Lonchura striata: one gene and its partners. The protein of the gene in region 4 purifies or fractionates together with the protein of the main gene of each other region. This does not show direct contact. Links are inferred from orthologs where the notes say so. Each region holds a gene or a part of one and is shown on either strand. Other genes may lie near its edges.

The links.
Region 1: the proteins of USP22 (region 4) and ATXN7L1 purify together in Homo sapiens (affinity purification with mass spectrometry; 3 studies listed by BioGRID and IntAct, with this or other methods). This does not show direct contact. The link is inferred for Lonchura striata from reciprocal best matches to the Homo sapiens genes USP22 and ATXN7L1.
Region 2: the proteins of USP22 (region 4) and TADA2B purify together in Homo sapiens (affinity purification with mass spectrometry; 4 studies listed by BioGRID and IntAct, with this or other methods). This does not show direct contact. The link is inferred for Lonchura striata from reciprocal best matches to the Homo sapiens genes USP22 and TADA2B.
Region 3: the proteins of USP22 (region 4) and TAF6L purify together in Homo sapiens (affinity purification with mass spectrometry; 3 studies listed by BioGRID and IntAct, with this or other methods). This does not show direct contact. The link is inferred for Lonchura striata from reciprocal best matches to the Homo sapiens genes USP22 and TAF6L.

Annotation. Positions count from the first base shown.
Region 1 is NC_134607.1:59,798,725-59,806,178, reverse strand, and holds the start of ATXN7L1 (ataxin-7-like protein 1), read right to left. Parts: upstream 3,006-7,454; 5' UTR 2,847-3,005; coding exon 2,732-2,846; intron 2,244-2,731; coding exon 2,175-2,243; intron 1-2,174.
Region 2 is NC_134606.1:11,778,387-11,785,358, forward strand, and holds the start of TADA2B (transcriptional adapter 2-beta), read right to left. Parts: upstream 3,005-6,972; 5' UTR 2,950-3,004; coding exon 2,680-2,949; intron 1,442-2,679; coding exon 449-1,441; 3' UTR 1-448. UniProt on the Homo sapiens protein: Coactivates PAX5-dependent transcription together with either SMARCA4 or GCN5L2.
Region 3 is NC_134638.1:392,949-400,101, reverse strand, and holds the start of TAF6L (TAF6-like RNA polymerase II p300/CBP-associated factor-associated factor 65 kDa subunit 6L), read right to left. Parts: upstream 3,010-7,153; 5' UTR 2,911-3,009; coding exon 2,764-2,910; intron 2,124-2,763; coding exon 2,037-2,123; intron 1,514-2,036; coding exon 1,363-1,513; intron 1,041-1,362; coding exon 990-1,040; intron 899-989; coding exon 804-898; intron 707-803; coding exon 632-706; intron 351-631; coding exon 130-350; intron 51-129; coding exon 1-50. UniProt on the Homo sapiens protein: Functions as a component of the PCAF complex. The PCAF complex is capable of efficiently acetylating histones in a nucleosomal context. The PCAF complex could be considered as the human version of the yeast SAGA complex.
Region 4 is NC_134618.1:15,148,595-15,156,224, reverse strand, and holds the start of USP22 (ubiquitin carboxyl-terminal hydrolase 22), read right to left. Parts: upstream 3,010-7,630; 5' UTR 2,917-3,009; coding exon 2,791-2,916; intron 1-2,790. UniProt on the Homo sapiens protein: Deubiquitinase that plays a role in several cellular processes including transcriptional regulation, cell cycle progression or innate immunity.

The DNA of each region.
Region 1 (7,454 bases), on a different chromosome or scaffold from region 4:
ACTTAAAATCTCCTGGCACCACATATGCCATTAAAAAGGTCTACTCAAGTTGGTAAGATTGTAAAAAAAAAAGGAGTAGGGTTTTGTTTTCAGACCTATCCTAGCCACATCTATGAACAAAGCAGGCAAAAAAATTCAACGTGTCACACAACATGCAAGCAAGTTCAGAATAAAAGCACAAGCATTTCTGTAATTACATGAGAAATGTTTCCTGCAGACCAATCTAACTCTTGAAATTTTCCCTCACCTTTACTAATAAGGACTGTGGGGCCTAAGAAAGATTTACAGTGGGTGTTCAGACACACAGATGGGTGTGGTGAAAACAGACTGCCTAAGTGACTATAGTAAAAATATTTCGATACATACTAATTTATTCAAACTTCATGGAAGTTCTAAGTGATCTAACACAAGTTACTACTTGAAAGCAGTAACATCCCTAAGGCTTTTTATTTTCTAAATATAACAGTCAATTTTGGGATTTTTTTACACAGTATTATGACATAAGTACTATAAAAGCCAGTAAGTGCTTCACACCTGTCATGATCATAATGTCAGCAATGACATATGCTTTGTTTGGAAGTAGTTTTTCTGGATAGTGAGTTTAAATAGAGCTTCTTTGATGGAGTCTCTGACCCCCCAAAAACCAAACAAGACTAGAACTGAATTTAAACTGAATCTTTCTAGGAAACAATTTGCATATTATGTAGAACTAAGAAGCAGAGATGCTTCAATCTTTATGTCCCATGCTTATAAAAGGAATTTGTGTTCAAGGACTTCTGAGCACAAAATGCTTTATCTCAACAAATTAAGCTCCTTATGAAGGCACGGCTGAAGTAGCAAAATTTTTGCTCAATTATTTCTGAATCAACATTACTGATAGATGTACAGAGCCTTGAACCTTTTACCTATAAATAACTACATGAAAATCCCAGTTCTGCTGCTAACTTATCTTTGGGCTGACAAAATACAGAGGTTCAGGCATATAAGAATCAAGATAGGAACACAATCAAGCTTGGCTTCTCTGTACAGGTCTTTCAAAAAGAAGTTTTATGGTATTTTAAATAACTTTAATGCATATGCCATGCAATTTTATAGTTAATCACACAACTCTAGTTTACTCATTAATTCATTCTTTTTTCAAGATCTTGTTTAGAAAACATAAGATTCCTTTGAGCTGCCAAGATGCTCAAAATCGATCGCACGTGTAATGACAACTGTAATGTAATGAGAAACTTAACATCATTTCAGAATGTATTTTGTGACATTACAGGTAATAGCGGGATTCCTCTCAGCAGAGTAAGTCGCACCAAAGTTTCACTATGATGGGATCGTTCATTATGAACCGACTTCCCAAGACAGAGAGATTGTGTATGAAAAGCACTTTCTTAACGAAACAGAAACAAACACAAACTACTTGAAAAATCATCCTGTACTATTTCACTAGTTGCACTAGGTGTTACCTCAACATGATGTTAATGACACACATCACAAACAAAATGTTTCTCCTCTTGCAGCTGACAGAGTTGTGACAGGCCGGGCATATTGGCAAATACCGCTAAGCTGGAGTCTGCCTGTTCACACTGACGGTACCAGAAGAACTTATGGCCCAAATGACTAATTTTATTTGTTTTTGCATAATATGCATGGGTTTAGCGCAACCTAAAATAATATTTGATGCGGGCTGCTCAGGTGACTGTAGGTGACACACAGCAGTGCAAACAAAAAAACAAAATGTGATTTGAGCTAAAGTGAATGGACTCAAAGATTGTAACAAACCCTTTCTGACTGCAAGGGAAAACACCTCCACTAAGTTGCCAATAAAAATATAACGTTTAAAGTTTATATGCTTATCTTCACACGAGCAACTGGAATGTTGCACCAAGGGACAGGGTCCACAGAATAATCCAATATGGCCACTGATGTGTAGCTGTCTTATGCCTCAAAATTGTCTTATCTTTTACCATGTCTGTCAGTTGCACGTATACACCTGTTATCACCTTACTTCAAAAGAAGTTGACACAGTGACAGTCATCTGCATGTATCCAACCCTGAAACGTTCTTTATGGCAGAGAAATACATATGCTATCAGACCACCCTGTCAAGGCCAAACCACAGTCATTCACAACCACCAGGAGACAGACAGGTAGAGAGGTGTGCCAGCACTATCCACTTACCTTCTTTATTAAGCCTCATAACCTCCCTGCTTTTTCCACCCTCCTTTCCAGTCTCTTCCAGATCTACACCTGCAGAAGAGAAGCAGAGTCAGGAAGCGCCGAGGGCCCTAAGGTGTGCATTTATTGTTTGGCGAGGGGAGGAGGAGAGGTGAGGAGGTGAGCAGTGTTTCTATTTGCAACAGCAAAAGCACAATGGTCGGAGCATCTGCCAGGGAGCGGAACCGCCGGGCCCCCCGCGGCAGCACCCTCGCCCCCGCCTCCCCGCCCGCGGCATCCTCCGGCCCCTCCGCGCATCCTCCCCCTCGCCCCCTTCCCCCACCGCGGCGCCGGCCCAGCGCCGCGGGGCAGCGGCACGGCAGGCGCGGCGCGGCGTGCGCCTCCCGCACACATGGCACGGGGGCTCGGCCGAGCGTCAGCTGAGCGCCCGGGGGGGCGGCACCTCCCGGCCCCGGCGGGAGGAGGGAGGGGAGCGGAGGGGGGGCGGCCCGGCCGGACCCCGGCCCCGCTCCGGGGGCAGCGGCGTGCGGAGCCGGACCGCGGCCGGTCCCTGCCCTTACTGTGCGGGGGGGCGGCGCCGTGCGCGTGCGGGGGGGCGGCCTCCCGCACCCAGGCGGCCCAGGGCTGGCCCAGGAACGCCTCGGGACTGGGCACGGGCCGCTCCAGGGCCGCCATGGCGCCGCGCCTGCTCCTGCCTCCTTGTTGCTTTTCCCGTTTCCTTCGGCGGCGGCGGCGGCGAGCGAGCGAGCGAGACACGGGATTCGAGAACGCCGCACGTCATCCTCGGGACGTTCCGCCGCCCACACGGGGGTAGTGTCAGCCCCTGCTCCCTATCAGATCGGGCTCCCCGCCGCACAGCGCGCATGCCCGCGTCCCCCGCGCCTGCGCCCCGCGCCGCCGGCGGCGGGCCCGCGCCCGCCCCGAGGGGCTCCGGACCCGCGCCGCGCCGCGCTCCGGCACCGGCCCGGCCCGCCCGGCGGAGCGCCGCGGGCCCGCCGAGCCCCGCCGGGAGGGCGCAGCCGCCGGCCGCGCGCGCCTCGGGGCTGCGCGCCCCGCAGCGCCCGCAGTAAGTGCCTGGGACGGGCTCTCGGTGGCTGCGGCGCGGCCCCTCCGCGCTCCAGCGCGGCCGCTGCACCCGGAGCGCGGGGCTGGGGCTCCCCCGCTCCCCTACTGCCAGCTGCGCTCCTGTGGATCGCCTATAGCCACAGCCACAGCCATTTTGTTGTCCAGATATTGCCTGATCTGTAGTAGGCTTCGTCTGCTTGCAAATGGGATTTTTCTCGTTTTGGTGTTCTAGGCTACGGTACAGCAGCTCTGAACTCGCAGGTCCGGCTACTCTCAAACAATACCGAGGTTTTCATCTCGCTCTACATAATCTATGGGACGTAAATGCTTTTCATTTAGGATAGTGTCACTTTTGCTTATTTCACCACTGAGGTAAGAATAGAAAATAACCGTTAATATTTTCATACTCAGTATACCTGCTCTAGATTAGGAGTTTCAGCATAAGCCTGTTGCTTCAGCTTATACCTCTTAAGACAAATATAAACGCTCCCAGTGAAGGACTTGGTTTCATTTGAGCAGCCTCACATATCCCTCATGTAGTGTATTTCATACGGCTCTGCAACACCATTAGCAGTGGTGATGACTGAAGTGAATGGTTCAACAGACACTTCTCACATGGTGATATGAGTTTTGCGTGATCCCATCCTTGTCCTGCATCTTTTCCCAGACACTCGTTCACTTTTTGCTGGTTCAAACCATTTTGAGGCAATACTGAAGCAGTACATGGAATTAATGTGGACTCAAAAAAAATCAACAAAACAAAACCAAAACCAGACAAACATAAAACCTACCGAATCATTTCAGGCCTGCTCAAAAGTTGGAGCTGTGGCCAGAGGGGCAGGACAGGAGCTGCTGAAGTCAGCACTGCTGCCTGTCATAAAGTATATGGTGCTGCACTCCAGAATGGATTTAAATAAATTTCCCACAACTTCATTAAGACTAAGCTCTTTACAGTGCTGAAATGGATAAAGATTTGGGGCAAGGGACAAACACTCTTTGCCTTATGTACACTGTCAACACACTCCACCTCTTCCAAAATAGCTGGAATATACAAGTCCCATCCCTAATACCCGGAGGTGAGCCTCAAAGCTTTCATTCTGTATAGCCTACTAAGAGTGCCTCCAGTCAAGTAAACATTAGCTACAGGAAACTTCAGTACCATTATCAAAGAAGCAGAAATCTCACCAAAATACCCTTCAAATAAAACCAGGCAATCACAGCAGTCTTCTTGGCAGCTATCATGAAGCAGGCATAGGATGCATGACCTTTCGTAGGCTACATAGGGAATTTCCAGAAGCATGAAGGGTAGTTGTGATGTAATACAAAGCCCTGGGAAGATATATTTAGGACTATTATGTGCAGTTCTATCCCACCAATTTAAATTAATCTTCCTAAAAAAAAAAAAAAAAAAAAAAAAAAAAAAAAAAAAGAAGTGTGGACAGGGTTATGAGAAAGATCCGAGGAATTAAGATTCTGTCATTTGAGGAGAGTTTTACTTAGTCTAACAAAATTCAGCTGGTAGTGAATATGTGTGATGTTTTTAATTATAAGAACACATAATTCCTTTCACATCAATGAGGAAGAAAAAAAGAATAGACATAAATTGCTTATGTTGAGATTGAAAAGTTTGCCCACTATACTGAAAAACTCTTTGGTCAGGAATAGCAAGATGGAATTTGTAGAAGGAATGATAAATAACATGAACTTAAAAATCAACCATGTTTGACACTTGTGTTCAAATTCACTGCAAGATAATTGAGCAAATGTCTCGACAGTGGCTAAATAGTTTCATAATTAGAGAATTTAAACTACACAGCTTATACCATAACGCTGGTGTCATTACCCTAGATGTGGATCTGGAGAGAAGATACAAAAGAAAGGCATGTGAGCGCCCAGGAAATCCCCATCGATGAAAACCAACATTAGATTTCAAGGAAGTATGGATGGCCAAGTATCCAGCTAATATTAAACACTACCACAGGATGCACAACTAGTAAAGCAATTCCTACCTATACAACTGAGGAAAAAGGGGAGGGGTAAAGTATTTAATACAAGCTGCCTCCAACCAAGCAAAAAAAAAAAAATTTGAAGAAACTTTCCAGCTTTAACACATGGCACTGATCTACATGCTGCCTACCATGACACACTACAGATAGTCTAGGTTCTTAACAGAAACAGACCATATGAAGGAAAATTAGCATAAAATCAAAGATTCAAGATGTACCAATTCCTTCCTAAAAAGAAACAATCCAGTGACTTACAGTTTAAGAGAAACTTTTCCAAAGCCCTCCCCAAGGAATTTCTCCTCCCTACCATATGTATTCAAGACCAACATTATCGTTAAGCAAATGGTTCCACAATCAGGATCATAGGATCATTTAGGTTGCGAAAGACCTTTAAGATTGAGTCCAATCATTAACACTAATTTCATCACTGAAACATGTCCATAACTGGCACATCTACACATATGCCCATCTTTCCTGTGATGAGCATCTTTTGTTTAAAGAGTGTGAGTTCTGCTTTGATTACATCTATGCTGCCTCTATGATCTGCACCAAGAAATAACACCATCCCTAAGCAAACCAGCCTTCCGTTTGTCTCCATTGTCTCGTAGGGTGCAAGTCCTGAAGCTGCAGAAGAGTATCCTCACTTCTGCACCAGGACTTCTCCCCAAGACCTCTTATTTCACTCCACATTGGTGCCTAATAAACTAGTTTATGTTCTATGGACAGCTGTGATTGTGCTCCATCTTATAGCAAAATAGAAAGAGAGCTGATCCGACATCCTATAAGTTTTCCCATTGTTAAGAATATATGTAATGCTATTTTGTGAATGTGAACTCAAGCTGCAGCTTTACTGTAGACAGACCATGCAGATGGTTTCTTCTTCCCTTCTCCTGGCATCTGCTTCCACAAGATTCAAAAATTCTTAGAAAGACAAACCTATTTAAGACTTTCATTCCTCTTTCAGATTTGTTTTTATTAATCAGTCGGGCCAAAATTCAGGGGTGGAGAGGGAAAAAAATGAGGGAAAGTCACAAACATGGTCACAAAATTTGTTCCTTAGGAAATCAGTAAAAAAAACACTGCATGTGAAAGTGCAGATTAAACAGCCTCTGTTTTTTTTTCCACCTGCTCACCAATACAGAAGTTTAATTCTTCTATGACCTTGAACAAGTCACTCTGCCACAGAAAAATAATTAAGTCAGCCAGGAAAGGTCCTTCTCTCCCTTCCTGGTCCCTGAGGATTCTTTAATTTCAGTTGCCAAGCAGAAGCTTCCTTTTTATATGTGATTTTTCAGAATTCAAGGTAATGCAGCCTTGATTTTTGTTGCAGCTTCTAAATACTAGAGTGATCCAATCATAACATGGTATTTAAAAAGTAACTATAAGCAAATTATGGCCTTTAATTAATAAATGGCAAAATACAGATAAAACCTCAACTCTAACCTTTTTATCCTTATATCATTGGTCTTTTACTAAGATGATCTCCAAATGCAAGCTTTTTTACAAGTAACCAAATGTTCCTACACCTATTTATTCTAATTATATTTAAAGGCTTGGGCTTTGTAAAAACACAGTAAAAGTTATGACATTAGAAGAGATCCAAAGCTGCATATCGATATTTGGCTTATTTGGAGACCAATCCAATATTTTTATATAATTTTCAGGATCTGAATGTGAAGACATGACAAACTAAAACAGAAATCCTCACATGTGGCTATCAGGAGCATCATATGTAGTCACCATGTACAAATATAAAATGACATGATTTAACTTCAGCTGTACTGTCATACACTGAGAAAACACTATGAGAGTGCTGAGAATGCATGTGTAGTCACAACAACAACAAAATCAGGTATACCTGGCAATACGTGCACCAGATGGCTTTAAACTAGCTACAAAAGTATTATAAAAAACCAGCTGTATAAGGCCTCAATATCATAACAAGATTATAAACATCTGATGCTTGTAACAAAGTCATGATTTAAGCAGTATGGCAGGAGATTCATAAATACTTCCCAGGATCCTGTTGTGCAATGGATTTACCACAATGGTGGTTTTGTTTTATATTGCAGAAATTATGACATAGCAGACAGTTTTAAGAACTCAGGTATCTACTGTGGTGGAAATGGAGCAGTAAATGAATCACAAGATTTTCTTACAGATAGTGAATGATGGAGTTTGCATAAGAAAAGCACCAGCAAAGTAGCTGGCT
Region 2 (6,972 bases), on a different chromosome or scaffold from region 4:
AGGACTTTTGTAAGCTTCACTTTGCTGCCAGCATTATGCAAAAAAACCCAAACAAAACAAAGGGTGAAGAAAGTTTCCAGCAAATGAAACTATCTCCTACCTTCAAAGAAAAGCAAGGATTACACTGATATTTATCCAATAGTATGGACTAAAGCAACTACTCTGGGACTACTGGACTTCAGTAAGTTCACATGAAAAAATCTGTTCTAAGAATGTACCAAAAGCAGTGAAATCCAATGTAGAAGTTTCACAATTAAGTATTTTCCATGATCCAAAGCAAAAGTCTGTTTATACCACCATGGATCATGATGACTGTGAAGTTTATGTATTTGCTCTTTTGTGTTTTTAAGCGACATGGTTTCTGTATCTTTGGGGAGGGAAGGAAAAAATAACGGAGTCCTTGAGGCTGTAACGGGCCTCTGCTGTGTTTTTTCAGATCAGCTGAATTTCATGAAGCATCCCTGGATATCCAACCACTTTCTGTCAGAAAGTTTAAAATCCTTTTCTTCAGTACCTTATCTAAGTAACTGGGAAGGCGACTCTTTGAAGGAATCCCTTGTCTTTTTTGGAGGTGGTCTTTAATGATGATAGTTTTTACAGTCACATAACGTGCAGGACTCAAGTTCAGAGAGCTGCAGAGCACCTTTTCCCTGTCTGATAAGAGTTCAAAGCCAGGCAGGTTTTCAATGGCAGCAAATTCACCTTCTTTACCCTCTTCCTTCCCTCTCTTGGAACTAGCTATGTTCTTGTTCTCCTTCCTCTTTTCCCGTTTGTGCCGGGCCGCCTCGTACTCTGCCGACTCCTCCATTTTGGTGATCCCATTTCGCCGATACCGCTGCAGCTCCCGAATCTTCGCTCGAAGTATCCTCTCCTTGTGCATGTTCTCAAAGAAGTCTTCAAACTCCTTACAAGACATGAACTGGTACAAAGGCCTCAGTTTTAGCCTCAACTCCTTCTCTTCTTTTGTGATTTTTCGTTTGGGTGCTTTCTCCTTGTCTTTTTTATCCTTCCCCAGGAAGGCCGGTACCAAATTATAATCTCGCGCAATGTTCTTCCGCCGCTGCCTCTCCTTGAGTTTCCTGACGTACATGTCCACGTGAGCTCTTTTCAGCTCGATTTCCACGTCGTCGTCGTCGTAGTTGACCGAGAGGCCGCTGATGAGCGTCTCGGCGTCCTGGTCGTACTCGATCTCGTAGTCGTCGCGCAGCGGCATGTACCCCAGCTGCTGCTGCTCCGCCACCGAGATGTCCAGCGGCGGCAGCGGCGTCGTCAGGCTGGGCGACAGCGGGCCGCCGCTGGGACACGTGTGGTCCGTCACCCTGTTGGGAATGGTGTCAGGGATGCAGGCCTTCCCCAGGTTGCCGTGGATATACATGCTCACGTAGTGCTCCATCACCTCCTGAGGGCTTCGGGATGCTCCCACGTGAGCAGCCATGTCCTCCTGAACAGAAAAAAAGGAGTGATAAAACGATGCCCATTACATCTCCAGCATAATGAGCACTCAGGAAACAGCATGAGTTTTTCCTTGCTCCTCAAATCCAGCTCCCAGTAGCTAAACTTCTCTAGCAACACCAGCCACATTTCTATCAGATCTGCAATTCCAGCTCTGGATGAGTGTTTACGATGGGTGCAAGTAAGCCACAAACCAGCACCACATGGTGATTCCTGAGCACCCACGGCACTCCCACAAAGCCAGCTCACCATAACCAGAAGCTTTCCAAGTCCCAACACCAACAGCACTGTATGGCTTGGGTTTTTGCTTGTTTATATCACATTACTGAGGAGCAACATGGAAATAAACAGTCTTTTCTGTACGAGTAACCATTTTTATTCCTTTCTAGTTACTTAAGAACTAAGCAAGCTGCAATGATTATACACTTTAAGGTTTTGAAAATGTATTTATACTTAATGAAGCAAAACATAAGTAACAACAAATCAAATCAATCAAAAATGAATCAAATGGTCCAGCAGAGGGCAATGAGGATGACTGGGAGACTGGAGCATCTCTCTTACGAGGACAGGCTGAGGGACTTGGGCTTGTTCAGCCTCAAGAAGGGACAACTGAGAGGGGACATCACCGATGTCTATCAGTATCTCAAGGGAGGTGTCAAACGGACCAGGCTCTGCTCTGTGGTGCCAAGCAATAGCACGAAAGGTAACAAGCAAAAACTGATGCACAGAAGTCCCACATGTACATGAGGAAGGACTTCTTCACTGTGCAGGTGACCGAGCACTGGGACAGACAGCCCAGAGAGGCTGTGGAGTCTCCCTCACTGTTAACAGTCAAGAACCGTCCGGATGCAGCTGTGTGCAGTGTGCTCCGGGATGACCACGGGAGTCCTTTCCAGCCTGGCCCGTTCTGTGACTGAGATGAAGCTTTCTCACCGCTGCTTTTTAACCCCAAGCCTGGCCGTGCAGTGGCACTGAAGGCAGCAGCCAGCCCGCAGCTGGGACACCCTGACGGCAGAGGCCGAGCCCGGCTAAGCGGCAGTGCAAGACCCGTGACACGGCCGCGGCAAAGGCAGAGCTTCGAGCAGCGGCAGGTCCGAGCTGCGGGGCGCTCCTCGCACCGCGCGGGCAGAGCGCGGCAGCCCCGGCCCCGCAGCGCAGGACGCGCCCGGGGCTGCTGTCAGGGCCGCCGCCCCAGGAGGAGGATCGCCCCCGCCCCTCGGCCCTTACCCAGTTGCCGAAGCCGAACTGCTCGATGGCGTCCAGCAGCAGCTGCTCCTCGCGGCTGCTCCAGCCGCCCTCGGCCTCGGCGCCCCAGAGGGTGAAGCGGCCGCCGTCCACCAGCTGGTAGCCGTGCCATCGGCGGTGCGGGCCGATCTCGGCGCCCGCCGAGAAGCACTCGGGGCAGAGCTCGATGTCGGCGCACTCGGTGCAGCGGAAGCGCAGCGGGCTCACTTCAGCCAGGCAGTACACGCAGTACTTCTTCCCCAGTTCCGCCATCTTACCCCGCCCGCGCGCGCGCGCGGCCGCGCCCCCGCCGCCCGCGCCGCCAATGGCAGCGCGCTCCGGGGGCGGGGCCGCGGCCGGCACCGACCAATGGGGCCGGGGCTGGCGGGCGCGGGGGCTGTCACCGCGAGGGAACGGCTCCGATTGGCCGAGGCGGACTCGTCTACCCTTGCCGCGGCCAATGGGAGCGGCCGCCCCGAGAGGAGCGGCCGCGCAGGGGCCGCCCGCCAGGGGGCGGGGCCGCGCGCGACCGGGGGCGGGGCCGCGCTCGAGAAGGGGGCGGGGCCGCGCGGGTGCCCGGCAACGGGGGAAGCGGGGCCGGGCCGGGCCCCGCCGGAGCCGGGCCAGCCCCAATGGAGCCGCCGGAGCCGGGACAGCCCCAATGGAACCGCCGGAGCCGGGACAGCCCCAATGGAACCGCCGGAGCCGGGACAGCCCCAATGGAGCCGCCGGAGCCGGGACAGCCCCAATGGAGCCGCCGGAGCCGGGACAGCCCCAATGGAGCCGCCGGAGCCGGGCCGGCCCCAATGGAACCGCCGGAGCCCGTCAGTGCCGCACAGCCCCAATGGAAGCACCCTGCCCCGTCAGGCCAGCATTAAAGACATAAAGCGATTCTGCTTTTAGGTGTCTCGGCTCACGTAGAAAACATCAGGCTGAGGCGTGAAACCCCAGCTGTTGGAACCAGCGTGACTGCTCGGAGAGAGCAGCTCAACGCTCTGTGAGCGTAAGCACGTGAAGAGCTCGACCATCCGTGATGAAATTCTCAAGCTCAAGAAGAACGTATGAAACCGACCGACATTCTCAGCCACTTCATGGCAAAGCTGGAGTTACTGGAAGCTGAAAGCCTGAACGGATGAGTGGGAAACGTGTCAGAGGAGAGCGATATCCTGACCAAAATAAAGGCAGCCAGAGAAACAACCTGAAAGGCCGAGGAGAAACCTGAAACTGCAGCAGAAACGTGGGGTGCTTGGAACTGAGACACCACTTCAGGACTTCGAGGAAAAATACTGCAGAGCTGCTGAGTCAGCAGCTGGAAATGCAGAAATGTCATTATGCTGTGCTGCTTTGGGGCAGTTCAGATAAAAAGCCAGAAAGCCAGAAGACTGCTAAAGCCACCTGTGAAGAAAAAGACTAGTACTGGAATTTTCAATATCTAAATTACACTGACAACAGTTGATTAAGATAACTTTACATGACTTTATTTAACAAAACCATATATTTACAGTTGAAAAAAGTTCCAGTCTGATACACATATCTAAACAAAACAAACGTGGTAATTACATAACCCAATTTAAACGTGATGTACAGGAGATGTACCAACACTTCTCTATATATCATTCTTGTTTTAAAACATTCAAAAATAAGCTGTTACAAGGTACCTTTTTTTCCCAAATGAAATTGTTTACTAAATGATGAAATAACATTACTGATTGACTGCAGATCAAAGTTGCAAAACTGCTTTATTATAAAGTGCAGATCGTAAAGAATCCCAAAGCTGGTTGGAGTTTTCTGGTTTCTCTGATCTGCTGCACATACAGTGGTACTTTCCATGTATTGCAGCGGTTTAATTTTTCTTTAAACCCACGAAGAAAGTTTGCTTGATGGGGACATTTGCTCCATGAAAGAAAATCTCATGCATCTTGTTACAGATACTTTCAAGTACCTGAACAATTAAATTGTCTTTTTTTTAAATGCAATTCCCTGAATTTCTTAAAGAAAATTTCTGTATTAGCTAATTAAGAGATTTGGTATACTGCAAGAAAAGTGAAAAGCTCAGTGGCAAGAAATTCTATGCCATTACTAGTCAGCTCTGTATTTATCAAAATTCAAGCATTACCTTCAAATCAAGTTATTGAGAAGTTGAAATAATTGCATGTTTAGGCAGGTGATTTGTTTCACATGTATTTTGTTTGAAAATAAACTGTGCAAAGCTCCTTATTGCATTGCTGTTTCTTCATTAAAGAACATACCTTATATACACAAAGAAATCATTTAGAAAATATATACAACTTCTAAGAACAGATCAAATCACAAAACAAAGTAATTACATTTGCAAGTAACAAACAGTGCACAAGTGTTGCAGCAGGCCTTTTCCCCACAACTATGCCCACTGTCACTGTTACATTCAACATCTTATTGAAAAGAGAAAAAACAGGCTGTTAATGGCTGCCAAGATACCTAGTAGCTAAAAAATGCTTTTTTAACCAGACAAATGAGCCACACTTGTAGACTTGCTTTAAAAGAAAATACAAATGTAGTTGCAATGAAGACTTAAATCACAAAGCCAGTTACAGTACCACCTAAACATGTATATTGAGAAAAAGTGATCTCTATGTTCCATAAACCGTTTAAAAGCATAGTGCAAATGTTTTGGATGGTAGGCCTCTCGTATTCCTCATGGAAAGGCATATTTGTTGTAGTAATAGAAAAAGTAATATTAAAAAACACTTACTGACCTTCCTGCTTTCTATTGCACTTCAAAGCAATTGAGCATACAAGTACCAGTCATTGGAGGACAAATTCTGTACAAATTCTGAGTGAAATAACATGTTTCCTATCATATCTTAATATCTGTTTTCAGTAAGTGATGACTGAGGTGATGTCTTGTGGTGGAATTAAGATGACCAACAAAAAACCACATCCATTACACCAGCTGCACAAAGAGGACAGGAGAAGAGGTCAATGAGGTATCGGACTTGCAGGCTGCATTTGCATTACACATCTTTCAAAGCGATGATGAGTCCTCACTTACCAGGAAATCTTGTTCTCACTCTTCTTAATATTACAATCAAATTATCCCTCATGGAAATAATGTCTGTACCAAAGGACAATGTTTTGATTGTCCCACAGTCCTTTACACTGTATGTTGAGTTGAGCAGTGTGCAACTATTCTTCTTGTTTTTATTCAGACAATGCCAAACTAATCTGCATAAAGCAGCTGAAGAGCACTGGGAAACTGCTGACCATACAGCTGGAGGATTTAGTAACGCCTGTTCACAGTTAACACGAATATTGCTTCAGTTACCTTTCCCTTTTCAATGATCATCGTTAGTATAAAACAGGTTTTACACTATACACTATGCAATAAACATTCTTGTGAATCAGAGGCACTCATGATTTGCCCTTCAACATTCACCTGAATGAAAAGAGGATCTAAGATGTATGAGGGATTTATGTAACATCCATTTGCTGCCACTGTAACTTGCTCTCATGTATTAGAGATCAGATAAAATGCTCAAAAATGACAGCTTGTACTTTTCCTGATGGTGGCTGGCACATTTCCCAATAAACTTCTTTCACTTGTCACACTAGGAATCTGCTCCACATAACTTTCTCACTCTGGCAGAAGCAGCAGCTTCAGGAGATTCCACAAACTCTCTTCTTTTCACCAGCAACGCTGGCGAACATTAATTGCTCCCCTACCACCCTTCCTCCCGAGTTCTGCCAGTGAGTAAAGCTGGGTTTAAAGTCACTACCAAAATTGCTTTTAACCACTTCCCAGTTTATCTGCTAAGTCCAGTTTTATTTCCATGACTGGACACGTGGCACACAGGAAGTAGATGGTGGGCAAGAACATCGTGAAGCAGCAGTGCCCCAGGAGAGGGACACATGTAACATGTATTTGGTAGTATGTGACCTAGGCTTTGAACAGACGAAAAAGTACAAATTGGGAAATTATGCCACCTTAACACCAGAACCCTCTTGGCAAGTTTGGAATCTAGTCTGATGCATGGAATTTTCTCCATATGTATCCAGTTTAGAATATCAATTTCCAAGGCATCTCAAAGAATAATTAGTTTCGCACTGCTAGTTTGTCTTCTCTTCCAAGCTTACTTTCTACTTAACTTTTTCTTAAAAGAAAGGAATGTAGTTCTATGTCTACATGATTTCTTTGGTAAATGGGACCCACAGCCTATAAAATCAGAAGCCTTTCTAAAGAAATGGTCCTTATATTATTTAGAATTCCAGCACCAGTTATCTAAAATCCAGATCCAGCTACTGTTACAGATATTGGAA
Region 3 (7,153 bases), on a different chromosome or scaffold from region 4:
GCGAGAGCAGGATCTGCTGGTAGAGCCCCCGCACCAGCTCCCCGTGGCTCCTGCGGGCACAGGCGGGCACTGAGCCCCCGGGGCACCCCCGGGACACCCCCAAACCCCCCCCGGGAGCCCCCCGCCCACCAGAAGATGCGGCCCAGCAGCATGGCGGCGTAGTCGCGCAGCGTCCAGTGGTCGTTGAGGGGGTTGATGGAGGCGGCCAGCGGCTCCAGCACGCAGTAGAGCACCGAGGCCACCAGGCTGCCCACGTAGGAGCCCAGGCTCAGGAACGGGTTCTGCAGGAGGCTCCGCGCCAGCTGCAGCAGCCGGCTCAGCTGCTCCAGGTCGTGGCTCACGGATTTCACCTGGAGCAGGTGGGGGAAGGTGGCAGGGAGAGTTTGGGGAGGGGCTCCAGGGATAGCCTGGCTTAGTTCAGCTCAGCTCAGCAACTTTCAGCAGCCTCTGGAGACCCCCAGGACCACCAAACTCACCCCAGACCACCTTGGGACCCCCCAAATCCCTTGGGAACCCTCAGGGACCCCCCCCAAACTCACCCCAAACACCCCCAGGACCCCCCAAACTCACCCGATCCCCCCCAGGACCCCCCAAACTCACCCCAAACCCCCCCAGGACCCCCCAGACTGACCCCGCTGACCACGTAGACGAAGTAGGGCAGCAGCGCGGCGATTTTGGGGTTGCTCTGGAGGTCCTGCAGAGCCACCTGAGGGGGGAGGGGGGACACGGGGGGTGGGGGGGTCAGGCCGGCTTGGGGGGAGGGGCAGCCGCCCCCCCAGGGGGTCCCCAGCCCCCCCACCCACCTTCATGAGCTGGGGGTCGTCGCCCAGCACGGCGCGGGTGACGTGCTGGTAGTACTTGAGGAGGTCATCGCTGAGCGAGGAGACGGCGCTGGGCACTGCGGGGGGGTACCCCAAAAAATAAACCCCACTGGGGGGCTTAGGGGGTCTGGGGAGGGGTCTTGGGGATCTCAGGGGGTCGTTCCTGACCTGTTCCCTGCGGCTCCAGGTTCCCTTTGCCATCCAGGTAGGAGACGTGCACTGTAGGAGAGAGGGGTGAGACCCCCGCCCCACCGGGGAGGGCTGGGCAGGTCCCAGGGGGAAATTCGGGGATCCCAGGGGGAGATTCGGGGGTCCAGAGAACATTTTGGGGTCCCAGGATGATTTGGAGCCCCAGGATATTTTGGGTTCCCAGGAGGATTTGGGGTGCCAAGAGGATTTGGGGTCCCAGGAGAATCTGGGGTGCCAGGATGATTCTGGGGTTCCCAGGATGATTTTGGGTCCTGGGATGATTTCGGGGTCCCAGGATGATTTTGGGGGTCCCAGAGGATATTTTGGGGTCCCGGGGGATTTGGGGTGCCACCTCGGACAGCGGTCTCAGCGCAGCCCTTGGGGATGTTGGTGGCCAGCGCCAGCTCCAGCAGATTCACCTCGCGGTCCTCGGGGAAGAACAAATCCCCCTCACGGAGCGGCCGGAACGGCAGCGAGTCCTGGGAGCCACAGCCACACACGGCCTGGGGACAGTGAGGGGACATTGGGACATTGGGGACAGTGAGGGGACATTGGGGACAGTGAGGGGACATTGGGGACAGTGAGGGGACATTGGGGACATTGGGGACAGTGAGGGGACATTGGGGACAGGCCTGGGAGCCACAGCCACACACAGCCTGGGGACAGTGAGGGGACATTGGGGACAATGAGGGGACATTGGGGACATTGGGGACAGAGTCCTGGGAGCCACAGCCACACACGGCCTGGGGACAGGGGACATTGGGGACAGTGAGGGGACATTGGGGACAGTGAGGGGACATTGGGGACAGTGGGAGCACTCCTGAGAATTTGAGGACACTGCAGGGATTTGGCACAGCCCCGATGCTCCCAGTGCCACCAGTGTCCCCCCAGTGTCCCAAATATCCCCAGTGTCCCCAGTCCCCCCCAGTGTCCCCAGTGTCCCCAGTGTCCCCAAAGTCCCCAGTGTCCCCAAAGTCCCCAGTGTCCCCAGTCCCCCCCAGTGTCCCCAGTGTCCCCAGTCCTCACCTCGACGTTGCTCCAGCGCAGGGCTCGGTTGAAATCCTCCACGGTGAGGCGGCGCCGCCGCGTGTGCTTGAGGAACTGCGAGCTGTTCTGGGAGCGGGGACGGGACAACGGGAACGAGGAAAAGGAAACGGGAACGGAACCGTCACCAAGAGCGAGACCGGCATGGGGAACCGCTCCCGGGATGGCACCGGAACCGCTGGGCGGGACCGGGAGCATCAGCGGCAGCGGGGCCGGGATTGCCCGCGAGTCTCCCCGGTAACCCCGGTACTCCCGGTACTCCCGGTACCTGCGTGGCCTCCCGCAGCCGGTAGCCCCGGTACCCCCGGTACTCCCGGTACCTGCGTGGCCTCCCGCAGCCGGTAGCCCCGGTACCCCCGGTACCTGCGTGGCCTCCCGCAGCCGGTAGCCCCGGTACTCCCGGTACTCCCGGTACCTGCGTGGCCTCCCGCAGCCGGTAGCCCCGGTACTCCCGGTACCTGCGTGGCCTCCCGCAGCCGGTACCCCCGGTACTCCCGGTACCTGCGTGGCCTCCCGCAGCCGGTACCCCCGGTACTCCCGGTACTCCCGGTACCTGCGTGGCCTCCCGCAGCCGGTAGCCCCGGTACTCCCGGTACCCCCGGTACCTGCGTGGCCTCCCGCAGCCGGTACCCCCGGTACCCCCGGTACTCCCGGTACCTGCGTGGCCTCCCGCAGCCGGTAGCCCCGGTACTCCCGGTACCCCCGGTACCTGCGTGGCCTCCCGCAGCCGGTAGCACACGTCCTCGGCCAGCAGCGCCGCCACCTCGTCGCTGAGCTCGAGGCCGGCGCTCTCGGCCATGAGCCGCACCGAGTCCCGGGGCAGCTCCACGAAGCGCCGCTCCTCCCGCTCCGCCATGGCGGGGCCGGCCACGCCCACGGGGGCGGGGCATGCAAATCAGCCCGCCTGAAGCGCGCCGGGAACGTCGCGGAATGGGCGTGGTTATGCAAATGAGAACCGCGCGGGGCGTGCCGGGAGCAGCACCCCTCAACCCCCGGAACTTTTGTGCCCGGAACGGTCCCGCCGCGCTCGCGGTTCCCGCGCCGGAAGGGCCGGGGGGGGGGGCTGCCAAGATGGCGGCGCCCACGCGGTTGTGCCACGTCTGGGTGGGGGCCGAGACCGGAGCCCTGAAAGGTGGGGGGGGCCCGGGGGGGGTCCTGGGGGGCTCGGGGGGATCAGGGGGAGCCCTCAGGGGGGATCTCGGGGAACCGGGAGGGACCTTCGGGGGTCCCGGGGCTGGCCGGGAAGGTCCCGGGGGTTTGGGGGGGGGGGGACACGGGGGGGTTTGGAGGGGATTTTGGGGGTCCCGGGGGTTTAGGGTGGGGTCGGGAGGGTTTTGGGGGCCGCGGGGGGGGGTCCCGGGACGATCCTGAGGGTCTGGGGGGGGGGTCCTGGCAGTTTGGGGGAGGGGAACGCGGGTTTGGGGGAGTCGCGGGGGTTGTGGGGGGACTTTGGGGGTCCCGGGGGGGGTCTTGGGACTTTCGGGGTGACTCTGGAAGTCTTGGGGGGGGGCGGTCCTGGTTGTTTGGGGCGATCCCGGGGCGGTTCCTGATGTTCCGGGGGTTTCTGGTGGTTTTGGGGGGTCCCGGGGGGGGGCTCCTGGCGGTTTTGGGGGGTCCCGCGGGGGTCTCCAAGCCCCCCGTGCCCCCCCAGGGGTGAACCTGCAGCGCAGAGAGGCCTGGAACCACGCGGGGGGGAGGGGCTGAGCCGGGCCCGGGGGGTCTCAGCGCTGGCCTGGGGGGACCCGGCCCAGAGCGAGGTGAGTCGGGGGTCCCGGGGGGAGGGGGGGGGTCTGGGGGGGGGTCTGGGGGTGTCCTGAACCCCCCGAACCCCCCCAGGTGCTGGTGGGGGCCCTGGATCGCTCCGTCAGCGTTTTCAGCACCGAGAAGGGAAAATTCACCGGGGGGCGGCTCTGCCCGGGGGGGGGCGGCGCCTTCTGCGGCCTCGGGGTGCTCGGCAGGTACGGGGGGTTTGGGGGGGTCTGGGGGGTTTGGGGGGGATCCTGGGGGGTTTGGGGGAGATCCTGTGGGGGGTTTGGGGGGTCTGGGGGGTTTGGGGGGGATCCTGGGGTGTTTGGGGGGATCCTGGGGGGGATCCTGGGGGGTTTGGGGGGATCCTGGGGGGGTTTGGGGGGGATCCTGGGGGGGTTTGGGGGGTCTGGGGGGTTTGGGGGGGATCCTGGGGGGTTTGGGGGGGTCTGGGGGTGCTCAGCAGGTACCGGGGGTTTGGGGGGGGTTGGGAGAGATTTGGGGGAGTCTGGGGGGGGTTCTGGGGGCTTTGAGGGGGGGTCTGGGGGCACCCAGGGGATCCCTGAAGGGTCTTTGGGGCATCTTGGGGAGGGTTCAGGGGTTCTGGGGGGGTTCCAGAGGGGTTTTGGGGTGTCCAGGGATTCCCTGAAGGGTTTTTGGGGGGTGGGGGATGGGCCAGAGGTGCTAGGGGGGGGTCCCCAAGACCCCCTGAGCCCCCCAAAATCCCCCCAGCTCCGTGGTCACCGCAGTGGAGTCGGGGCTGGTCCGGGTCTGGGGGGAGCAGGAGACTGAGGAGGTGAGTGAGGGGGTCTGGGGGGGATTTTGGGGTCACCCCAAGACCCCTCCTCAATCCCAGCCCCTTTTGGGACCTGGGGGTGGGGTCGGATGTGCCAAAAATGGGTGTTTTGGGGGGTTTTGGGGTGGTTTTAGGAGGGTTTGGGGGTTCCTGGAGGGTTTTGGGGTGACCCCTCCCCGTTCCCAGCCCCTGTGGGAGCTGCAGGTGGAGCTGTGCCAGAATTGGGGATTTTGGGGCAATTTGGGGTGGGGTTTTAGGGTTTTTTAAGAGGGTTTCAGGTGTTTTTTTGGGATTTTAGGAAAGTTTGGGGTGTTTTTGTTGGGCATTTTTGGGTTTTTAGGAGGGTTTGGGGTGGTTTTTTTGGGGTTTTTGTGGGGATTTGAGCAGGGTTTGGGGTGTGGGTATTTTGGGGGTCCCTGGGGGATTTTGGGGTGACCCTGGTGCCCCCCAGCCCCTGCAGGAGCTGCAGGCGGGGCCGGGGCTGTGCCGGAATTGGGGTTTTTGGGGCAGTTTGGGGTGGTTTTTTGGGGTTTTTGCGGGGATTTGAGCGGGGTTTGGGGTGGTTTTGGGGCGTGGGGATTTTGGGGTGACCCCGGTGCCCCCCAGCCCCTGCAGGAGCTGCAGGCGGGGCCGGGGCTGTGCCGGATGCGCCAGGACCCGGCGCGGCCGCACGTGGTGGCCACGGGGGGGAAGGAGAACGGGCTCAAGGTGTGGGACCTGCAGCGGCCCCAGGAGCCCCTGTTCCGTGCCAAGAACGTGAGTCAGCCCCAAAAACAACCCCAAAATACCCCCAAAATACCCCAGAAACAATCCCAGAACCGCCCCAAGAACACCCCAAAAACAACCCCAAAAACGCACCAGGGCCACATTGAAAGCAACCCAAAAAATACCCCAAAACCACTACAAAAATAACCCCAAAAACAACCCCAAAATACCCCAAAACCAATCCCAGAACCGCCCCAAGAACACCCCAAAAACACCCCAAAAACAACCCCAAAAACGCACCAGGGCCACCCTGAAAACAACCCAAAAAACACCCCAGAAACACTACAAAAATAACCCCAAAAACAACCCCCAAAATACCCCAGAACCACCCCAAAAACGCCCCCAAAACAACCCAAAAACAATCCCAAAAAACCCCCCCAAAACCCCAGAAACACCCCAGAACCGCTCCAAAAATAACCTCAAAAACAACCCCAAAACCAACTCCAGAACCACCTTGGAACCACCCCGAATTGCCCCCAAATGTCCCAAATTGTTCCAAGTTTTCCCCAGATTTCCCAGATTACCCCCAAATGTCCAAGATTGTCCTCATATTGTCCCAGATTGTCCCTAAAGGTCCGAAATTGCCCCCAAATTGTCCTCAAAGGTCCCAAATTGTCCCCAAACATCCTCAAACTGTCCCTAAATGTCCCCAAAATTCCGGAATTGTCCCCAAAGTTCTGGAATTGTCCCCACACCAGGTGAGGAACGATTGGCTGGATTTGCGCGTCCCCGTCTGGGACCGGGACCTGCAGTTCCTGCCCGGGTCCCAGCGGATCGTCACCTGCACCGGGCACGGCCAGGTGAGGACACCTGGGGGCACCTGGGGGGGCATGGCCAGGTGAGGACACCTGGGGGCACCTGGGGTCATCTGGGGGGGCACGGCCAGGTGAGAACACCTGGGGGGGCACGGCCAGGTGAGAACACCTGGGGTCATCTGGGGGGGCACGGCCAGGTGAGGACACCTGGGGTCACCTGGGGGGGCATGGCCAGGTGAGGACACCTGGGGGCACCTGGGGTCATCTGGGGGGGCACGGCCAGGTGAGAACACCTGGGGGGGCACGGCCAGGTGAGAACACCTGGGGTCATCTGGGGGGGCACGGCCAGGTGAGGACACCTGGGGTCACCTGGGGTTATTTGGGGGGGCACGGCCAGGTGAGGACACCTGGCCTCACCCGCTGCCCCCCTCACCTGTGCCAGGTGCGTCTCTACGACCCCTCCTCGCCCCGGCGCCGCCCGGTGCTCGATGCCACCTTCGGGGAGGCGCCGCTGACGGCGCTGGCGCTGCCCGCCGGGGACACGTCAGTGCCGGGGGGCCTGGGGGGGTTTTGGGGGGATTTTGGGGGGTCCTGGGAATAGTGGGGGAATTTTGGGGGGGTTCGTGGGGCGTCCTGAGGGAATTTTTGAGGGTCCTAAGAGGATTTAGGGTGGCTTTGGGAGGCTTTGGGAGGGATTTAGATATCCACTAAGTGACCTAGGGAGGGGGATTTGGGTGCCCAAGGTGAATTCAGGGTGCTGGGGATGAATTTGGGGTGCCTGGGGGGGTCCTGCTGCCCCCCCAGCCCCATTTCCCCCCTCCCCAGCTCGGTGGTCGTGGGCAGCGCCCGGGGGGATGTGGCCGTGATCGACCTGCGCAAAGGTGAGGGGGGTTTGGGGGTCCCAGGGGGATTTTTGGGGGGTCCCGGGGGGATCTGGGAGTCCTGGCTGGATTTGAGGGGGTCTTGGTGGGGATTTTGGGGAATCCCAGGGGTTGGTGACCCCCTGACCCCCCCGTGCCTGCAGGGCGGGTGCTGCA
Region 4 (7,630 bases):
ACATACACGTTCAGGAGACAGCTTTCCCACTATAAAGCAGGTTTTAGAGCCATTCTGCTGGAAGCACTGGCTGTAAAGCAAACTGAAGCGCGAGCTGGAGCTCGTAAAAGCTTATTCACAGAAAAGGTGCGTATTAAAACCGAATAGCACAGCACTAAAATGGTCTGCCAAGGCACAACGCAGTGTAGGTACAGCAGGAGAACAGACCCTTTCTGCCCCCTGCAGTTCCCAATGCTCCCTGGATTTTTAAGACAGGCTTAGGAGGGATAGTAGTTACCATTCTAGAACCAGAACCATTTACATCTGGCTCTCACCAACAGCCAAAGCATTTTTATACCTACCTTCATCTGAACAACAGTTAAACTGCCCAGTGCCTTCCATAAAGACCAATTACATATATGGAATGTTTCTGTGATAAACATATAATGTGACTGTCCTTGATCATGTAATAAAAAGAATATCACTTGCTAATAAACCTTTAATTTGGCCTTGTCATTTTGATTATTAGGATTAAGAAGAATCTTCACCAATAAACAGGTGCTCTTAAGCAGTCACAGCTTGCTCCTAGAATATACATATACTTATACATAATATACGTGTATGTAAACTATTAAAGGACAAAGGATTGTTTTCAAGTTATATGGACTATCCTAATTTTATTTCTAGTTATTTCTAGCTAATTTTATTTCTAGTTATTAGACTATAAATCTGCCACCAAACAGAAAACATCCTTTTTCTAATTTTACATGTAAAACTGTCAGGCAAACATCTGTACAGAGAATTTCAGTGAATTAAAATTCCATTGAAGGTCTCATGTTCATATAGAGAAAGGGTGAATAAAGTACCATAACTGTCATTTATAGACTTGTTTTCAGTCCTTACAAACATACACAGGGAATTGGATCCCAATTTAGCTACCCAAAATGTTCCCCCATATTGATCATGTACACCCACATATTTCAGGTGGGCCGGATTCAGAAACTGTTTTCATGCTGGCAACCTGCTTTAAAAAAAAAGCGGGGGGAAAAGCATTTTTAGCATGTATTAGGAAAACTGGTGTTTTCCCTGGGATGACAGATAATTTTGAAACAATCCTGTTCTACTTTATGAGCCTGGCTGTACAAAGAGGAAGTGAGAACAGATTGATTACAATAGAATATTCTGTATTTTCAGCTGTTTTCTCAAGCAATGATGAACACATCCCTACATTAGATTTCAGAAGGAAAAAGCTGTTGCAGCACACAAGAGGTATGCAGGTTACACAGGATGCTCCATGTTTAGAAAAAGGTAATTTTGCTTATGAAATTTTACTTTCATTCTTCCACATAGCATTTGCTTTATATTTGTCTGAGACATCTTCATACCTCACTTGCCATTTTTTTCTTCCACAGCACAGACACGATTTTTTCTCCATTTGAGCTGAAAGCACCATCAACTATATCCCAATTTGTATTTTAACATGCTATAGGCTAAATAAACCCAGATTTTGACTAATATACTCCATAATATTGACCTGTAGGGAATTGTAAGGTATTTAAAACAAGTCTGGCTATACTTTGCAGGGCTATCAAGTAATTAAATCCATTTAACACGTATTTCTTCTCAGATTCCATTTTTTCCTCTTTAGGTAAAAAAATTGGGAAATTGGATCATCCTGAGAACATGAACTGAACACAGAGAAATGGTTTGGCACCTCACCCTTTAAGTCCATCCTTCATGCTCTAGTTCTATTACAAATAATAAGCTGAGCAGCTTAATGCAAAGCACTGGGATCAGGAAGTTTTCAATGGGTTGTTCCAACAAAAACACAATCCGTGCTGTCCCAAACCCCAAGTTTTGCCCCGTGCAGCTGCTGCCTTCCCCTCCTCAGTCACCAATGCGACGACTGACAGAAATCTGCCAAGTCACTTTGAAGTAAAAACTAGTTGATTCTAGGGAAAAACAGTAATTAGTTGCACAGTGCATAGACCAACCCCAGAGAAACATGCATGGGTATAAGGATGTTATTATAGGAGATAGGTAAGGAAAAGCTTTCCTGCTTTTTGCCTGGTTTACAGGGATTTTTTCCCAGGCGCCAACAGCTCCCAGAGCAAACCCCTCCTGCCCTTCCCCGTACTCCAGGCTGAACCAGTTCCCTTCCCCTGCCCCACCAGAGCAGGAATCCCCTTTTCCAAGTGGATTATCAGCACGAACAGCTTTGGTAGTTTTTTTTGGATTTGTTTTTTTTTTTTTTTTTCCTTTTTAAGGAAAACCACACACATAACCGAGCCAGCCGCAGCCCCCGGCGCCGGGACCCGCTCCCAGCCATTGTACTCCGCGCAGCCCCCCGGGCTCGGGCGCGGCCCCGCGGGGCTCCACAAAGCTCCGCCACAGGCCGGACGTGCCCGGTGCCCCGGGCCTCCCCTCCCCCCGGTATTCCGGGAAACCTCCGGGAGGAGGAGGAGGAGGAGGAGGAGGAGGAGGAGGAGGAGGAAGCGGCGGCGCTGCGGAACAGCCCCGCTGCGGAAAAGCCGGCGGGGCAGGTGGCAGGGAGGGAGGCCCCGCCGGGGCTGGCTCCCTCCTCCATCCCGGTGCCCCCCCTCGCCATCCCGGAGGCACCGAGCGCTTCCTCCTCCCTTCCCCCGGGACCGCGTGCAGGAGCTCGGGCCCACCTGCCCCGTGGGGAGGGAAAGAGGGAGGGCTAGAGGGGGACCGGACCCGTCCCCTCCCCGAGGCGGCGGCGGGTGGGTCGGGGAGGGAGGGAAGGAAGGAGGGAAGGGAAGGGGGGTGGATGCGAGCCGCCCCCGGTACCTTGCGCTTCCTGGTCTCGGCCGAGCCGCTCCACACGAAGCACTGGTAAATCGCCCGCAGGTTCTGCTTCCAGTTCTCCACCTTGAAGCCGGTCACATGGCAGCACCCGGCCGCCGGCGGACTCATGTCAGACCCCCCCACATCAATCCGCCCGCACACGGGCCGGGCCGGCGGGCAGCGAGCCGGCCCCTTCCCCCGCCCCGCAGCACCGACACGGGCCGGGGCCCCCCCGCCCTCAGGGGCTCCGGCCCCTCACGCCGCCGCCGCCGGGGAGCCGCTGGCACATAGAGCCGGGGCTCCGCCACGGCCCCCCGGCTCCGAACAAAGCGCGGCGGGCGGGCAGCGCGCACTCCCTCCCGCCCTTCTCCCGCACACACAAAGATGGGGCGCTCTGAGGCGAGGAGAAGGAGGAGGCGGCGGCTGTAGCGGCCGCTGCCGCCCCCGGAGTGGCCGCCGCTCCCTTCTACCTCATAGAGGCCGCTGTGGAAGCGGCGGGCGGAGGGGAAGGGAGGGGATGGGGGCGCTGGCGGCGGCGACCCCGGCCGCGGTGCGAGCGGGCGTGTGTGGGGAAGGGGGCGAGTCCCCGCCCGCCGCCGCTCCGGCTTCCCCCGCCGGCGCCCGCACGGCTCTTGTCCCTTTAAACCGCCCCCCCGCCTCCTTCGCCGGCTCCTTCCTCCTCCGCCTCGCCCGCGCCCCCCCCGCCCGCCGCGAGCAATGGTCCGAGCCGCTCACTCAACCCAGCCCGCCCGGCCCGGAGTGGGATAGACCAACGGGGAAGGTGCGGGAGGAGCGCCCCCTCTGCCCCGCCGCCCGCGAGGGAGGGAGCGGCGGGGGGAAGGAGCGCGGCGATTGGTCCGCATCCCTGTCAATCTATCCATCTCTAGTGTCTCATTGGTTCCTTTCCCTTTCTTCTCTCCCCCTCCACCCTTCCTACCTAGCATTTCCCCCGCCGGAAAGAGGCGGGACATCCCGGACGATTAACAGCTTCTCTGACCAACGGGGAGAAAAGGCGGGGTCTGTGTGGTGGGAGCGGCGCTATGACTGGTCGGCGTAGACGTCAGTCACGCTGCAAGCGGAGATCGGATTGGCTGTGCTCGCGAGGGGGCGGTCCCTCGCGCAGCAGGCTGCGCTGCTGTCACATCCGCTGGTCCCGCTCTCGCTGTTCCCTCAGCGGTCTCCTGAGGGGACCGGGACCGCCGGGCTCCCGGGGGAGGCTCCGCGCCACGCTCCCAGCGCTCCCAGCACCATGTATGGTCCCTCCATACCGCCAGCCTGCATCCTGGTGTTCCACAGGGAAGAAACAAAAGCGCTGTATCACCAAAACTGGTGTTATTTCAGCTTCTTCCTATACAAGGAAATGGGAAGACGGTGTAAAAATGTTGGAATCTCTACATAGTTTTCAGCTTGTATGTCACACACATTATAGGGTTACATAGTGGAGTGAGGCAGGAGGGAAAGGATGGGAATTACGCCGTGGTTTCTGAAGAGAGAGGCCGGAGGCTTTGCTGAGGCTTCTTAGAGAAGCACTGCAAACACTGTGCAACAAGGAAATAAGCGGGGAAATAAACCCACGTTATTTCACCAACCCCACTTTTCAGTGCGTGCTAATGACATTCCTCGGGAGCCGTAACCTTGAAATCTTCACCTTGCAGATTTCCTTATAGCGCCCAGTTTCCTCACCTGCTGCTGCAGCTAGCAATCAATAAATACAAAAATCAGTGACAATCACCTGAGGACTTTCCGTTTCCTCCTGAGGTGCTGCTGTTTTAAAAAAAGAAAGCAAGGTGGTTAGTAGGCAACTTAGTTTATGATTTGTGTGTAGCTAGAAGGTTTGGTGGCAAAGAGCTGGGTTTGTGGCCCAGGCTGGGACAGCAGCAGGACACCTGTAATTGTTCCATCTCCTGGCTCAAACTACTTATTAGCCTCTCCCAGAAATACCTCTTCCACACAGTCTGGGGATTATGCTCCAGTGATAAACCTGGAATTGCCCCACAGGTGGTAAAAAAAAAAAAAAAAAATGCCAAGAGCCGGGAGAGGGCCCGATTATCCCGCTGTGTACACAAATTGCACTGAATGTTTCAGAAGATTATGAGTGGAATGTGGAGGGAGGCTGTACCCTCTCTTTGACCCTGTGTAATCATTAGACCTATTAAGTCATCACAGTGCAGCCTACACTTCCTTGGAAAGGGAACAGGAATTGGTGCTGCACATCCTTCCCGTGTTAACCCAACTTCCAGGAGAATTAATCGGTTTTCAAAAGCAGGAGTCAGAGAGAGCCAGCCCCTCCCCTGAGAAAACCACCCTCAGAAAAGAGGGAGGTTAAGGTGCATAGAAGAGAACAGGATGGGTGATTAGTGTCCTAACAGCATCTAATAATTATTCTCTGAATATTTCCAATTAAACAAAACCTCTGATTTTGCTGCAGTCTAAATACAAGCAGAAAGTTATTCTTATTCTGCACCAACCTACTGTTACTAATCTGGGGCTTTTCTCCATGGCTACCACATCAAAACAGGAGATAAAGATAAAAGAGAGAATTTCTGCCAATGAAATTTAAGTCCATCTCACTGAAAAAACAGGATACCAAAGAGACAATACATATGTTCAATGTCCTGCAGACTCTGAAATTTTCACAGAGATTTCTGTTCCACTCTGTCTTGCAGAGTCCCTGTGTTTACTCCCTTTAGGGTGTCTTATGTAGAAATAACAAGAATTGTGAGTTTAAACACAATTGCTTTAAGAAACACCTACTTTTTTAGTGGTTCTCTCTCAGAGAGAGAACCTTTGGAAAAATACTGATCTTTCTCTCTGGCCGCTTCCAGAACAATTAGCAGTTACCTACTCCTGTCCTGGAGGTTTCTGACCCTGCTGAGGATGTGAGGAGCATCCGTCACAAAGGCCCCACATGGAGGACACCCATCCTGGAGCACACCTGCTGAGACCTACTGTCATTTCCCAAAGGCATCAATGTAGAAATTTAAAGATCACTCTTAGGAGATATTTCCAAAGTATAGACATTACCTTTCAAACTTAAAGCTCCCCCAAGGTTCCCTTGGCACCTTATTCTCCATAAAAGGGGTTTATTTATGCTAGAAATTCAAATTGGGCTTCTTGTGGTAAATTGGAACCAGAGTAAAAATCCACTTTGGAACAGTGTAGAAAACAATGGCTTTGGAGATTTTTTGAGACCAATTCCTGATTTGGGGGGCTTGAGACAAAACTCTACAAATGTCATTAAACCGTTTGCTTTCTGTCCTGTGAAGACAACAGAATCTTTCCTATGAAGTATAAAAACTTCCAGCTCTACAAATATTTCTTGCTTGTTGCAGCCCACACACTGAAGGTGACACAACAGCAGAGCAGCAGCCAAAACAAAATAGGAATGGAAAATAGTGACGACATTTTGTCAGGTAGTAATTGTCAAATCAGGGCCTGCTTTCTGCACACACACACACACACACACACACACACACACTCACACAAGTTTACAAGTTTGCTGTAGTTTAATTTACTCTTGGACATGGCTTGGGAATGTTTCTAGAATAAAGCCTTTTGGTGTAGCAGATAGCTTGGGAAAGGATTTGCCTCTGGGGGAAGGAGAGAGTTTCATTCTCTCCTGTGTCTCTTGGAAGAATTTTTAATTTTAAAGCATTGATGATTATGCTAATTAGTGCTTACCCTCAAATGCCAGTGGAATATAAATGTTGATAGTAGCTAAAACACACTGCAAATGTGCAGCAAAGTCTTCCTCCAGAGAGTCATTTGCATTCCATGATAGCTCAGCTGGGGAGAAGCAGCATTCTTCACATGGAAAAGCAAAGTAACTGCCTCTTCTATCCATGCCATCCCAAGGTGGCACTTCTAGGCTCCTCTGGATAGCCATGAATCAGCTGCTACCTCATCACTCGGGCATGCTTTGCCATGATATGTGTTAAAATGTCCAATTTCATCCTCAGGTAAACAGGAACCTTTCACTTTGATCAGGTGTGTGAGCAGCATCAAGGATTTGGGTAGGACTCCTCCCATAAACCTGGATTACATGTGGAGCTGGCCTAAATTTGGATCTGCAAGAGGCTGAAGCCCCTGGCTCCACAAGTGGATTTGAAGGGAGATGTTCAGCAGCTTTGCTCCTGCAAGCACAAGGCTCTCCATGCTAATAACCAGTACAGAATGTGTGAAGGTTCCTCAGTACCTCTCCTGCATTTTTTCAGGCACTCTAAAAAATACAAGTTTTTCCACATTCTAAAAGGAAAGAATTTACAGAACAACTCTGCTCATCAAAACACAGAAGAATATTTTAAAGACTAAAAAAAACATTTTTATCTCTTAAAAATTACCCTATTTTTAATCTTCAGGAATTTTTTCTTCCCTTGAGCTTAAGCCTTTTCTCATCCAAGCATTGCAACCTTCCATCCAAGTAGTACTGCCATTGCTTAATCCACAGGCTTTAAAGCAGATGAGGTTGAATGTCTGGCTGCAGGGCTAAAAGCTCTGGAGATATCACAGGCAGAATCCATTGTGTGATTCTGCCTGAAGCTTCTTGCTTTTGAATCCCTGTGAAGTTCAGCTGAGTTACCTCAGATACCTGAAGGTTTGTAGGGAAACACTGGTCCCTGTCATTTATCCTGGGGATGGAGTACTGACCTTGCTACAAAACCAAATGGGTTGTAAAGTCCCAGCTATGCCAGCTTCTCTAAAAAGCCGTGTTTTCATCCCAATCCATTGGCAATGGCACCTGGTAGGTACCAGAGCAGAGATTTCCATGTGGCCCAGCCTTAGCATAGGACACAGAGTGGTTTCTTGAATCCACAACATTCCATGATAAAGGATTGGTTCAGCT